Linked DNA regions of Arabidopsis thaliana. The protein of the gene in region 1 interacts with the protein of each later gene in a pairwise test. Each region holds a gene or a part of one and is shown on either strand. Other genes may lie near its edges.

Region 1 (4,447 bases):
GAGAGTTCTAATCCGTTTAAAATCTGGATGACGTTATGCAGAAGCGGAGAATCATCACTGTGAACCCCTCCGCGTCTATTGAGATGAGTCAGTACGAGAATAATGAAGTTCCTTACTCAAGTGTCGGTGCTGATGAGGTTCCATCATCACCGCCTAAAGCTACCGATAAGATTCGGAAAGTTTCCATGTTGCCACTTGTTTTCCTCATATTCTATGAAGTCTCAGGAGGTCCTTTTGGTGTAGAGGATAGTGTGAATGCAGCAGGACCATTATTAGCTCTTCTAGGGTTTGTGATCTTTCCTTTCATTTGGAGTATCCCTGAGGCTTTGATTACTGCGGAGATGGGAACAATGTATCCCGAGAATGGTGGTTATGTTGTGTGGGTTTCCTCTGCTTTGGGACCTTTTTGGGGGTTTCAGCAAGGTTGGATGAAATGGCTTAGTGGTGTTATTGATAACGCTTTGTATCCTGTTCTGTTTCTTGACTATTTGAAGTCTGGAGTCCCGGCTTTAGGTAGCGGTTTACCGAGAGTTGCATCGATCTTGGTGCTGACTATTTTGTTGACGTATCTGAACTACAGGGGACTAACTATAGTTGGTTGGGTTGCTGTGCTTATGGGAGTTTTCTCCATCCTTCCGTTTGCTGTGATGGGTTTGATTTCGATTCCGCAGCTAGAGCCTTCGAGATGGCTTGTGATGGACTTAGGGAATGTGAACTGGAATTTGTATCTTAACACGCTTTTCTGGAATCTAAACTATTGGGACTCGATTAGTACACTAGCTGGTGAAGTTGAAAACCCCAACCATACACTTCCAAAGGCTTTGTTTTATGGTGTGATCTTAGTTGCTTGTTCTTACATCTTCCCTCTTTTGGCTGGAATCGGGGCAATCCCGCTAGAGCGTGAGAAATGGACAGATGGGTATTTTTCTGATGTGGCCAAAGCTCTTGGTGGAGCGTGGTTGAGATGGTGGGTTCAAGCGGCTGCAGCTACATCAAACATGGGAATGTTTATAGCCGAGATGAGTAGTGACTCTTTTCAGCTTCTCGGAATGGCTGAGCGCGGTATGCTTCCCGAGTTCTTTGCCAAAAGGTCACGTTACGGGACACCTTTACTAGGGATTCTGTTTTCAGCGTCAGGTGTTGTTCTCTTGTCTTGGCTAAGCTTTCAAGAGATTGTAGCTGCAGAGAACTTACTCTACTGCGTTGGTATGATCTTAGAGTTTATAGCGTTTGTTAGAATGAGAATGAAACACCCTGCTGCATCAAGACCGTACAAGATACCTATTGGAACCACAGGTTCGATCCTCATGTGTATTCCTCCAACCATACTGATCTGTGCTGTTGTAGCACTCTCGTCTCTTAAAGTAGCTGCAGTGAGCATTGTGATGATGATCATTGGTTTCCTGATACATCCTTTACTGAACCATATGGATCGAAAGAGATGGGTCAAATTCTCCATCAGTTCTGACTTACCGGACCTTCAACAGCAGACTCGGGAATACGAAGAAACTCTAATACGTTAAGAATGTCCTTAGTTATTTCCCTCGTCTATGTTAAGTACAGAGCTTGGAAGCTATAGCCAAAAAAGCTTAATTTCTCATAGTCTGTACTCTGTTTTATTCACAGCTTGTTCTAAAGTTGTAGTTTTTTCGTAAAGTTAGGTCATCGTTAGCACGGTTCCAATAAAATGTGCAATGTTTGTATCTCTGTTATGTTTTTGTCGTTGCCATTGTCGATTTGAAACATGGCTTTGGAAATTTGAAGTCTTTGAACAAAACCTTCGATCAAAGTCTGGTCAACAGTTGCAAAGCTTGGATCTTTGGATAAGTTTTCATCACCAATGATTGGAAAGAGAGAAAAAACCCTCACAAAACCCCAAAAAGCAGTATCAGTGTTTGACACGCAAACAAAATCGCTATAGTCTCAATTGATCGGAGGTTCTATCACCATCGTCTCCATCTGCATAATTTATTAAATATTTAGGACTTGTCATTGATATGGACACTCTCAAAACAGAGAACCACAATTTCTTCAATCCTTTCCAGGATATGACAAGTACAACGATATGGGTGAGTTTTGTTTTCTTCTTAAAGCATCGCTCAATCTTCAGACAACCCTAGATTCTCTCACGGTTTGTACTTCTTTACCTCTCGTAAATGTTTAGACTTTCGTATAAGGATCCAAGAATTTATCTGATTGTTTTTTTTTCTTTGTTTCTTTGTGTTGATTCAGAAGGGAAGTATCATTAGTTCATTACCATGGGAGACTATAACATGAATGAATTTGCTTATGGTAATCTTTACGATGATGATGATGGCGATGTTGGTGGATCGTCTAAAGAAGGAAACAATTCGATTCAGAAAGTTTCAATGTTACCACTCGTTTTCCTCATATTCTACGAAGTCTCAGGAGGTCCTTTCGGTGCTGAAGGTAGTGTGAATGCAGCAGGACCATTGTTAGCTCTTTTAGGGTTTGTGATCTTCCCTTTCATTTGGTGTATCCCTGAGGCACTAATCACTGCGGAGATGAGTACAATGTTTCCAATAAACGGCGGTTTTGTTGTTTGGGTCTCCTCTGCTTTGGGAACCTTTTGGGGGTTTCAAGTAGGTTGGATGAAATGGCTTTGCGGTGTTATTGATAACGCTTTGTATCCTGTTCTTTTCCTCGATTATTTGAAGTCCGCGGTCCCGGCTTTAGCTACTGGTTTGCCAAGAGTTGCATCGATCTTGATCTTGACTCTATTGCTTACTTACTTAAACTATAGAGGACTAACCATTGTTGGTTGGACCGCTGTGTTTATGGGAGTTTTCTCTATGCTTCCGTTTGCTGTAATGAGTCTGGTTTCTATTCCGCAGCTCGAGCCTTCGAGATGGCTTGTGATGGATTTAGGAAATGTCAACTGGAACTTGTATCTCAACACGCTTTTATGGAATCTGAACTACTGGGATTCGGTTAGTACACTGGCCGGTGAAGTGGCAAATCCGAAGAAAACACTTCCTAAGGCTTTGTGTTACGGTGTTATCTTTGTCGCTCTTTCGAACTTCCTCCCTCTTTTGTCTGGAACCGGGGCTATACCGTTGGATCGTGAGTTATGGACAGATGGATATCTAGCTGAGGTTGCTAAAGCCATCGGTGGAGGATGGTTACAATTGTGGGTTCAAGCGGCTGCAGCTACATCAAACATGGGAATGTTTTTAGCCGAAATGAGTAGTGATTCCTTTCAGCTACTTGGAATGGCTGAACTCGGTATACTTCCCGAGATCTTTGCGCAAAGATCTCGCTACGGGACACCTTTACTAGGGATTCTGTTTTCAGCCTCAGGTGTTTTACTCTTGTCAGGATTAAGCTTTCAAGAGATTATAGCTGCAGAGAATTTGCTTTACTGTGGTGGAATGATTTTGGAGTTTATAGCATTTGTTAGACTGAGGAAGAAACATCCGGCTGCATCGAGACCGTATAAGATACCTGTTGGAACCGTTGGTTCGATTCTGATATGTGTCCCTCCGATTGTACTGATATGTTTGGTTATTGTTCTATCTACTATTAAAGTGGCTCTTGTGAGCTTTGTGATGGTGGTCATTGGTTTCTTGATGAAACCTTGTTTAAATCATATGGATGGAAAGAAATGGGTCAAATTCTCAGTCTGTTCTGATTTGGCAGAGTTTCAGAAGGAGAATTTGGATTGTGAAGAGTCTTTGTTACGTTAGGGATACAAAGGTAAAAAAGCTTGGAACCTATAGTCAAACTCAAACAAACTGTATATCTTTCTGCTCGTTTTTTACTTTTTGTTCAAATTCTTTGTTCTCTGTTTAAGATCATAAGCACAAGAAGATATGTGTAAATGTTGTATCATTCAGTTTTTCTTTTGAAATGAAACCCATTGGTGATAGCCCAATACGTTTATGGAGGCCCATGAGAGCCCAATAAGTAATACAAAATTCATTTGTAGATCTACCGTTTATGTACGATGTGATCGAGATGCTCACAAATGTTTGAAAGAAGAAAAAACCCTAAACCCCCAAAATTTGCTTCGAGAAGAAAATGAATGGTGTCTCTCGTCATCTTCGAGCTTCTTCACTTCTTTCATTAATTCGCAGCTATGGTGGAATCAATTCGGTCTGTCGATTTTCGTCTCAATCTGATGGCTTCTCTGGTTCGTCATTTCCCATTTTTATCTCTCCCGATCCATATTTTGCTTCTTCAATTTTGAGTTATGACCCAGAACTATGATTGAATCGAGAACAATTTTCTTCTGGGTTTGATCTGATTTATGCATTTGAGTTGTACAATCAATATTTTGGATTTGGCGTTTAAGTTTTCCACTATCGTCAAGTGATGTTGTCCTCCATGAAAATGTGTAATTTCGTTATTAGGTATTGTTCAGGATTCTAACCTTTGCCTAGAAGTACAGAACGAGGATTTGAATCAATTAGTCTCAAGGATCAGC
Region 2 (4,457 bases), on another chromosome or scaffold:
AAGCAGAACATTGTTTTCCAGCCTCCCTTGGGTAACTTTGTTCTCATGCGATACCAGGCAGGTTGTGGACTCGGACCACCAGTGAAAGGGTTCTATCAGCTATCAATGGTTTCAGAAGACGAGGGTGCATTCCTCTTCAAGGTGCACCTCATGGAAGGTTACAAGGCTCCTCTGTCAATGGAATTTTGCACTATTACTATGCCCTTTCCACGGAGACGGATAGTGGCATTTGATGGGACTCCGTCAGCTGGGACTGTTTTAACCACAGAACACTCTGTTGAGTGGAGGATTCTGGGCAGCGGACGTAGTCTTTCTGGGAAAAGCCTTGAGGCAACTTTCCCTGGGACAATCAAGTTTAGTCCATTGCAGAGCAGAAGAAAAGGGGATGGGGATGATGAAGAGAGTGAGGATGAGAGCGCTGAGAATGTGGTGAACGTGGAGGACTTCTTGGTGCAGAAAATGAACAAGGATCTCCCAGCAGCTGAGTTGGAGGAACCGTTCTGCTGGCAAGCCTATGACTATGCCAAGGTATGTATGTCTTTGGCTTCCTTTTGAAATCTTTTGGACTTGGTTGTTGTTCAAATCTATCTTCTGGTTTACAGGTCTCGTTCAAGATTGTCGGGGCATCTGTATCTCGAATGTCAATCGACACAAAATCAGTAAGCTTTCGCAACTTGCAATGATTAGTTAACAGTGTTAGCCCATATTATCGACTTATTATGGCCTCCTTTTGTTTTACTAGGTCAATATCTACCCAACCACAAAGTCACCGGTTGAGTTTTCTGCTCAGGTAAGACACTGCCAACAATATATAGTGTATAAATATTGAAGTGCACAGGAAACGTTTGAACCGGATTGGATAAAACTCTAAAGGCGCTCTACATGATATGTGCGTAAACAGGTGACTTCAGGGGATTATATATTGTGGAACACATTGGGGAAAGCTCCATCAGCAGCCGTCGTGTGATTTCCCCAAGTCGCAGCCTCACTGGTATTGTATTTTCCCATCCCAAGGAAGTGATTTATTTGTTTGAGTTTGAAAGCATTAAACGTATGAATGAGCAGTTTGATTTTTACAGCGGAAGTGTATCTGTACATTATTGTTGTTTCTTGAGAGATAAAGAAAGATGAATGTTGTTTTAGTTGCAAATCTGTCTGGAATGGAACATGTGATAATAAAACTCGTAAGGTGGTTGTGTTCATGAAGTTGCCACTGTTTCATAATTAGTCTACAAGCCTAAGAAAGAAATTGCTCTATATAGAGAATGCTATCTAGATATAGTATATATCCAGCTCATAAAGGAGATTATAATCCAAGGTTTGCAGCAATATGAGGTCTGTATTTTATGAAATTACAAAATTAGAAGAAAAATATCAATCAATTTAAAGATTGTTGTTGCCACGTCAATGACACTGTCTCTGTAGTTCCAATGAGCTTGGAATAACCACCGACAGATCTCATTCATAGGGAGCAAGCTGCCATTGGAGGTTAATTCCATTTTTTTCATAATAAAGGTTAACTGTCCAAACTCGAAACCCTGATTTATTTAGTTTTCAATAAATGTTTTCATGCCTTTTAAGAGTGTGTGCTAAGCTAACAGATGAGCTGTTATTACCTTGAAAACTCTAATCTATCTTAATTTAATAAGTTCTTAAATATCTTTCCAACTTTTTTTACGCTTTAAGAAAAGAAAAAAAATCCTATTTCTTGAAACGTAATGTTAATGGAAGGAGTCAAGTTGTCTTTTGAAAATTGGATTACCTCATTAGAAAATTCCACCAATTTGGTCAAATAGAGACGATGAGATTTCTAAGAAGTCTCTCCGGTTCAGATCTGGTCATCTAAAGCCCTTCTTCCGAGATCTACGACTTTCTTCCTCAAGTCGTTGTCTGAATTCTCTTTTTTTCCGAAAACAGACACCACCTGAGTCTGCTGTCTGAAGCCTCGGCGGAGGGAGATGATGAAGAATCTTCCGGAGGTTGGTAATGGCGGTGGCTCGGGTTTTCCGGCGGTCTCTGTCGGAAATAAGAAGAATAAGTATCAGAGAATGGACTCCGACGCGGAGGAATCGCAGAATCATCGTGAAGCAGAGGCTAGAAACAGTAGAACCAGAAAATACGTTATGGCTTGTGCCTTTTTTGCATCCTTGAACAATGTTCTTCTCGGCTACGGTCGGTTTTACTTATATAATCGGATTCTTCTTCTTCTTCTTTACTTTGTTGACTTACAAAAAGGTATGTGTGCTCTGTTTTTGGTATTTGTCAGATGTTGGGGTAATGAGCGGTGCGGTGTTGTTCATACAGCAGGATCTCAAAATAACGGAGGTGCAGACGGAAGTGCTCATTGGTAGCCTTAGCATCATCTCACTCTTTGGCAGCTTAGCCGGCGGCAGAACCTCTGACTCTATCGGTAGAAAATGGACCATGGCCTTGGCTGCTCTCGTCTTCCAGACTGGTGCTGCCGTGATGGCTGTCGCTCCGTCTTTCGAGGTTTTGATGATAGGGAGAACTTTAGCCGGCATTGGGATTGGGCTTGGTGTCATGATCGCTCCTGTCTACATCGCCGAGATATCCCCCACCGTAGCTAGAGGATTTTTCACTTCGTTCCCTGAGATCTTCATAAATCTAGGGATCTTGCTGGGCTATGTTTCGAACTACGCTTTCTCGGGGCTTTCCGTGCATATCAGCTGGAGGATCATGCTTGCAGTTGGGATTCTTCCTTCGGTGTTCATAGGATTTGCGCTGTGTGTGATCCCTGAGTCGCCGAGGTGGCTGGTGATGAAAGGCCGAGTGGACAGTGCACGAGAGGTGCTCATGAAAACGAATGAGCGAGATGACGAAGCGGAAGAGCGGCTTGCAGAGATACAACTGGCGGCTGCACATACAGAAGGCAGCGAGGACAGGCCCGTGTGGCGTGAGCTTCTTAGCCCATCTCCTGTTGTACGGAAAATGCTGATTGTTGGATTTGGAATCCAGTGTTTCCAGCAGATCACAGGAATTGACGCCACAGTCTACTATAGTCCAGAGATCCTGAAAGAGGCTGGGATACAAGACGAGACCAAACTGCTCGCTGCAACTGTCGCTGTTGGTGTCACGAAAACAGTGTTCATACTATTTGCCACCTTCCTGATTGATAGTGTTGGCCGGAAACCGCTGCTTTATGTGAGCACAATAGGAATGACTCTGTGTCTCTTTTGTCTAAGCTTTACGCTCACATTCCTCGGCCAAGGAACGCTTGGGATAACCTTGGCGCTTCTCTTTGTTTGTGGAAACGTTGCCTTCTTCTCCATAGGAATGGGACCTGTTTGCTGGGTCTTGACATCAGAGATCTTTCCATTACGATTAAGAGCCCAGGCATCTGCGCTTGGGGCGGTTGGGAACAGGGTGTGCAGCGGTCTGGTGGCCATGTCCTTCCTCTCTGTGTCACGTGCCATCACTGTTGGAGGAACCTTCTTCGTTTTCTCCCTCGTGTCTGCACTCTCAGTTATCTTCGTGTATGTGCTAGTCCCCGAGACAAGCGGGAAGTCACTGGAGCAGATAGAGTTGATGTTTCAGGGTGGGCTGGAAAGAAAAGACGGTGAAGTTGAGCTTGGAGATGCTGAGCGTCTTGTGCGCAAGGAACAGGAGTTTTGAATTGATCATGTTAAAGTAGAAGAGGCAGAAGTGAAAAGATACTCTTATGGTGTTCTGTTCTTGCATTAGATCCAAAGAACGTAAGATAGATTTTGTAAGTGCGTTTGATGATGGTATAGACCCAGTGCATATTCCAAAGAAACCAACTGCTCTGTTTTTTTGTTCCTTGTTTCAAGAAGAAACCATGTGATACTCAACTCAAAAGACAATATATACAGAAATGACAGAACCTTTGTGTTCACTTCATGTTTCACACTCTCCTTCTAACACTCATAAAGTTACAGGCTCTCCGGACAGTTCGGCTATATATCAACTCAAACTTATTCACCATCAAACAACAAGAAGATTTTGCTAGTACTAAACACACATACACTCACACCCTCTCTTACCTTGTGCATCCTCCATAACAAGAGAGAAGGATTTGATGGACGGAGATTGTTATCGATCAAGAAGTTTAAAGCTCGTAACCTGGGAACCTGGCTTCAGATGGGTCGACCATGTCAAGGAAGAGATAGGCCATGCCTGCAACGCCTTCAAACAAGGAATAAGGACTATCACCTCCATGCATTTCTCCTTTTGAGAGTAACTTGGGGCCTCTATCAAGCAGGAAACTGGCAAAGGCTTTTGCACGGTATAGATACTCACTCCTTCCCGTAGCTCTGTAAAGCGCAAGAAAAACATATGCGTTCCCACTTATTCCATGACAGATCCCCACGCGCTTGAGCAATCCACGGTTCCAAACCACCTCTGCTGCAGCTGCACTCGCTTCCAGAAACTCTCTCTCCCCAAAAACCTGAGTTTTGTTTTCATTTCCCAGAGATCAA
Region 3 (3,365 bases), on another chromosome or scaffold:
GATATAATTTTTCTGCCATTTTAATGGTATAAACGCCTATGTTTCAAGGGTAACAGAAAATAAGTATTAAGTTTTTCTCTTCTTTAGTTCGCAATGTGAATACATAGATGATTCCAAAATATGCTTTCTTATATATTTGTAAGAATTTAGTTTGAAAAACAGACATGGTCCTTTAAAATGGAACCTGTGAAAAAATATAAACTTAATTCTTTTAACAAAAAGAAAAGAAAAAGTTTATAACATTTGGGGCACAAATTTGCACCTGATCACTACATTTTAATATGATGACAGCTTTATGGATTATTGAGGTAGTGCACCTGGTGCACGGTAGTTGGTGTGATAGTAACAATTGGAAAAAAAAAAAAAAAAAAATCCCACATATGACTTTTATTTGCACTTTTGAAATTTTTTTTCTTTATTTTTCTTTTAAAAATATATTTTTAATATGTAAAATTACTAAATTAACTTTCTTAAATTAATAACAATTAATCAAAAACATATATATTTTAATATCAAATCAATTTATTTGTAATAATTAAAATAATTCAAAATATATATTTAGGGTAATAAATTTTTGAATTTGTTAGTCTTTTATAACTAACAATTCCAAATCTTTATTGCCCTAAATATGTTTTTCTAAACAATAATGACTAACAATATTCTACCGATATTAAGTCATGATTTTTTTTAAGCCATGTGTTATGGTGCAGATTTTAATATTCATTATTATTGTAAAACATTAAATAATTTACTTTGCAAAAAAAAAAGGAGAATTATTGAATTCAAGCAAAGTTTGGTGATATGTTAAGTTGAAAATTGTGTTTGGACTACTCGAGATTATTTTATTTTATATAAGTCCGATTGGTAACACAAAACTGTACAAAATTTTAGCTGTTAGCTATAACCAAAACTTTTTTTGGAATAGTGCAAAGTTGTACAAAAGAATTATACGAGAAAGCTGTACAGTAAAGTTAAGAGTAAAACTTTTTGTAATGTTTTTGATAAAGTTAATTTTTGCGAATGATAACTCTCAAAATAGTACAAGTTATATCGCTTTGAGAATGTGTTACCATTTAAAACCTATAACATGACAAATATTAAGTGATAGACTTTATAATACTTTTAGATATAGAAAAATTGAGAGATAGAAAATTTCTTCATCCAAAAAGAAAGAGAGAAGTTGGATTCCCAATTTGCGGGATCCCAAAAAAATAAAATCCCCATTAGGCATCATAGTGTGTCCTCACAAGAAGATAGATATCGTGCCATAAATTAGAACTGAGAGTAAGGGGTCTTGGAATCCATCTCTCACTCTCATTCCTCTGTCACTTCCAGAAACCAAACTATTCATCTATCTAAATTGATCTATTTGGCTTAAAGTATCTTAGAGTCATCAAGAGGAAACCCCTTGTCTTTCCAAAAACTTTCTCGATATCATGCTATCACTGACATATTATTGGATATAAGACTTATAAGTCTAATACCCAATTATTGTAGTTTGTGTAGTTGATTGATGTCAAAGTTCATATGGTTTCAAATTTATTGGTAAATATTATGATTGATATCCTTTTTTTGATTTTAAAAATCACCATTTATATATTTTTCAACAACCGTTAAGCAAAAATTTTAAACCAATCTGCGGTAGTTCTTGTAGGCATTTTTCAAGTTTTTTTTAGTGTAGTTTCTTAAAGATACTAAAATTTAATTTATCGTGTCTAGTTTAAATTTGTGTAATTAATGTTCGCTATCTTTCTTTAAAAAAACAAGCACCTTAACATATATATGTGTCTATAACAAAGTAAGTTTGAGTACATAATATTGCATGCAAATATATGCGGCAAAACTAAAAAGTAATAAACGGCAAATGAAAAAAAAAGCTGCTTTAATTCAAATAATTAAATATTCGGAGTGACTCACTTTCTTTTTCCCCAGGGACTTCTTACCTATAAATATAACACCTCACCACACCCATTGTTTCATTCATCTTTCCAGCTTTCTTCACTTTTTCCTTTATATAAAGTTAGAAAAACAAAAAAAACAAAATAGTTAGAAAAAATCTGAGAGAAACAGAAGAAACATAAAAAAAATGAGGCCATTGAGCATTAAACCAACATCGTTAGATGTAGCTAGACATGCCACATCAGTAGAATCATTTGGGAATCACCGACCGCCGATATCGCCGTGGCACTCACCGGTGCCGTACCTATTCGGTGGTCTTGCGGCGATGTTAGGCCTCATAGCCTTCGCTTTACTTATCCTAGCCTGCTCTTACTGGCGCTTGTCAACCTCCGGTGATGACTCCGGCGAAAGAGTCGACGAGGAAAAAGAGAGTCGGTCTGGAGTGAAGGCGGCTAGCGCGGCGTGCGAGGAGAAGGTTCTTGTCATAATGGCCGGAGATGACTTGCCGAGGTTTCTGGCCACGCCGGCGGCGAACAAATGCATGTGCGGTCACGAGGGTAGAATGGTAATTTTCAAGGAGGATGGTATTGGTGCTGGAGAGGAGAAAATGGGAGACAGAGAGAAAGCCAAAGAAAATGAAGAAACAACGAGTCAGTGAGCTTTTTTGTTTTCTTTTCTTCTCTCAGTCTTGTCTTTTTTTTTTTGTTGGGGAATTTTCCTTCGTGTTTTCACGGGAAATGTAAAATTTACTGAGAGAAAATTTTGGGTTATGATTAATGAATGTTTGCTTGTAATTTCCTATCCCCAATGGTGGAAAACTCGTTTTTAGTTTTTGTAATTCTCAAAAGTGTGATAGGTAACCTTTCTCATACAGCTTTAATACCAATCAGTAATAGAGTAAACTAAAACGGAATAACATAATAGTACTTAAAATTCTTACAATTTTATGTCATCACTAAGATCTACAAAAAAATGAATCATAGTATCATAACACTATGTTTGCCCAAAAAAAAAAAAAAAAGTATCATAACACTATTGATCATAAATTCAAAGCTTGCAATGTTTCGATGGAAACGTGATTCATCCCGTACACAAACTGTAATTTTATATACATTTTCAGAAACTAATGTAATGCATTAACCCTTTTGTATTACGTATATATTCTCACATTTTATATTTTGTAAGGAGATTCGTTTAGTTACTTTAATTATGAATTGTTATAATTGTGTCTCCTCCATGTATTTGTGTTACTTTCATATTTTCCTTGCATTTATATATTTTATTTACCATAGGATAGTTCTGAATTTGCTATCAACTTGGATATTTTAAATTAATTGAGACTCCATCTAGTTCACCGTCAAATTTTAACTATACTTGTTTAACTATACTTGTTATATAACGAGTGAATAAACTGGAAATAGTATTACTATTAACTATGAACTTACATTCGTAATATTCGAAAATAT

Evidence for each region.
Region 2: the proteins of PUT1 (region 1) and AT2G20780 interact in a protein complementation assay, tested with the Arabidopsis thaliana proteins (one large-scale study listed by BioGRID).
Region 3: the proteins of PUT1 (region 1) and GDU4 interact in a protein complementation assay, tested with the Arabidopsis thaliana proteins (one large-scale study listed by BioGRID).

What each region holds. Positions count from the first base shown.
Region 1 is NC_003070.9:11,415,951-11,420,397, reverse strand, and holds PUT1 (Amino acid permease family protein), read left to right. Parts: upstream 1-1,933; 5' UTR 1,934-2,131; intron 2,132-2,232; 5' UTR 2,233-2,258; coding exon 2,259-3,707; 3' UTR 3,708-3,947; downstream 3,948-4,447. Other genes in the region: PUT2 (Amino acid permease family protein), read left to right, coding at 36-1,523; NFD3 (Ribosomal L18p/L5e family protein), read left to right, coding at 4,042-4,153.
Region 2 is NC_003071.7:8,946,672-8,951,128, reverse strand, and holds AT2G20780 (Major facilitator superfamily protein), read left to right. Parts: upstream 1-1,699; 5' UTR 1,700-1,958; coding exon 1,959-2,172; coding exon of another isoform or gene 2,173-2,235; intron 2,236-2,266; coding exon 2,267-3,633; 3' UTR 3,634-3,887; downstream 3,888-4,457. Other genes in the region: AT2G20790 (clathrin adaptor complexes medium subunit family protein), read left to right, coding at 1-528, 603-659, 743-790, 902-967; AT2G20784 (uncharacterized protein), read right to left, coding at 1,353-1,508; GCL2 (GCR2-like 2), read right to left, coding at 4,088-4,426. UniProt on the Arabidopsis thaliana protein: Plasma membrane sugar-proton symporter.
Region 3 is NC_003071.7:10,557,393-10,560,757, forward strand, and holds GDU4 (glutamine dumper 4), read left to right. Parts: upstream 1-1,780; 5' UTR 1,781-2,086; coding exon 2,087-2,557; 3' UTR 2,558-2,847; downstream 2,848-3,365. UniProt on the Arabidopsis thaliana protein: Probable subunit of an amino acid transporter involved in the regulation of the amino acid metabolism. Stimulates amino acid export by activating nonselective amino acid facilitators.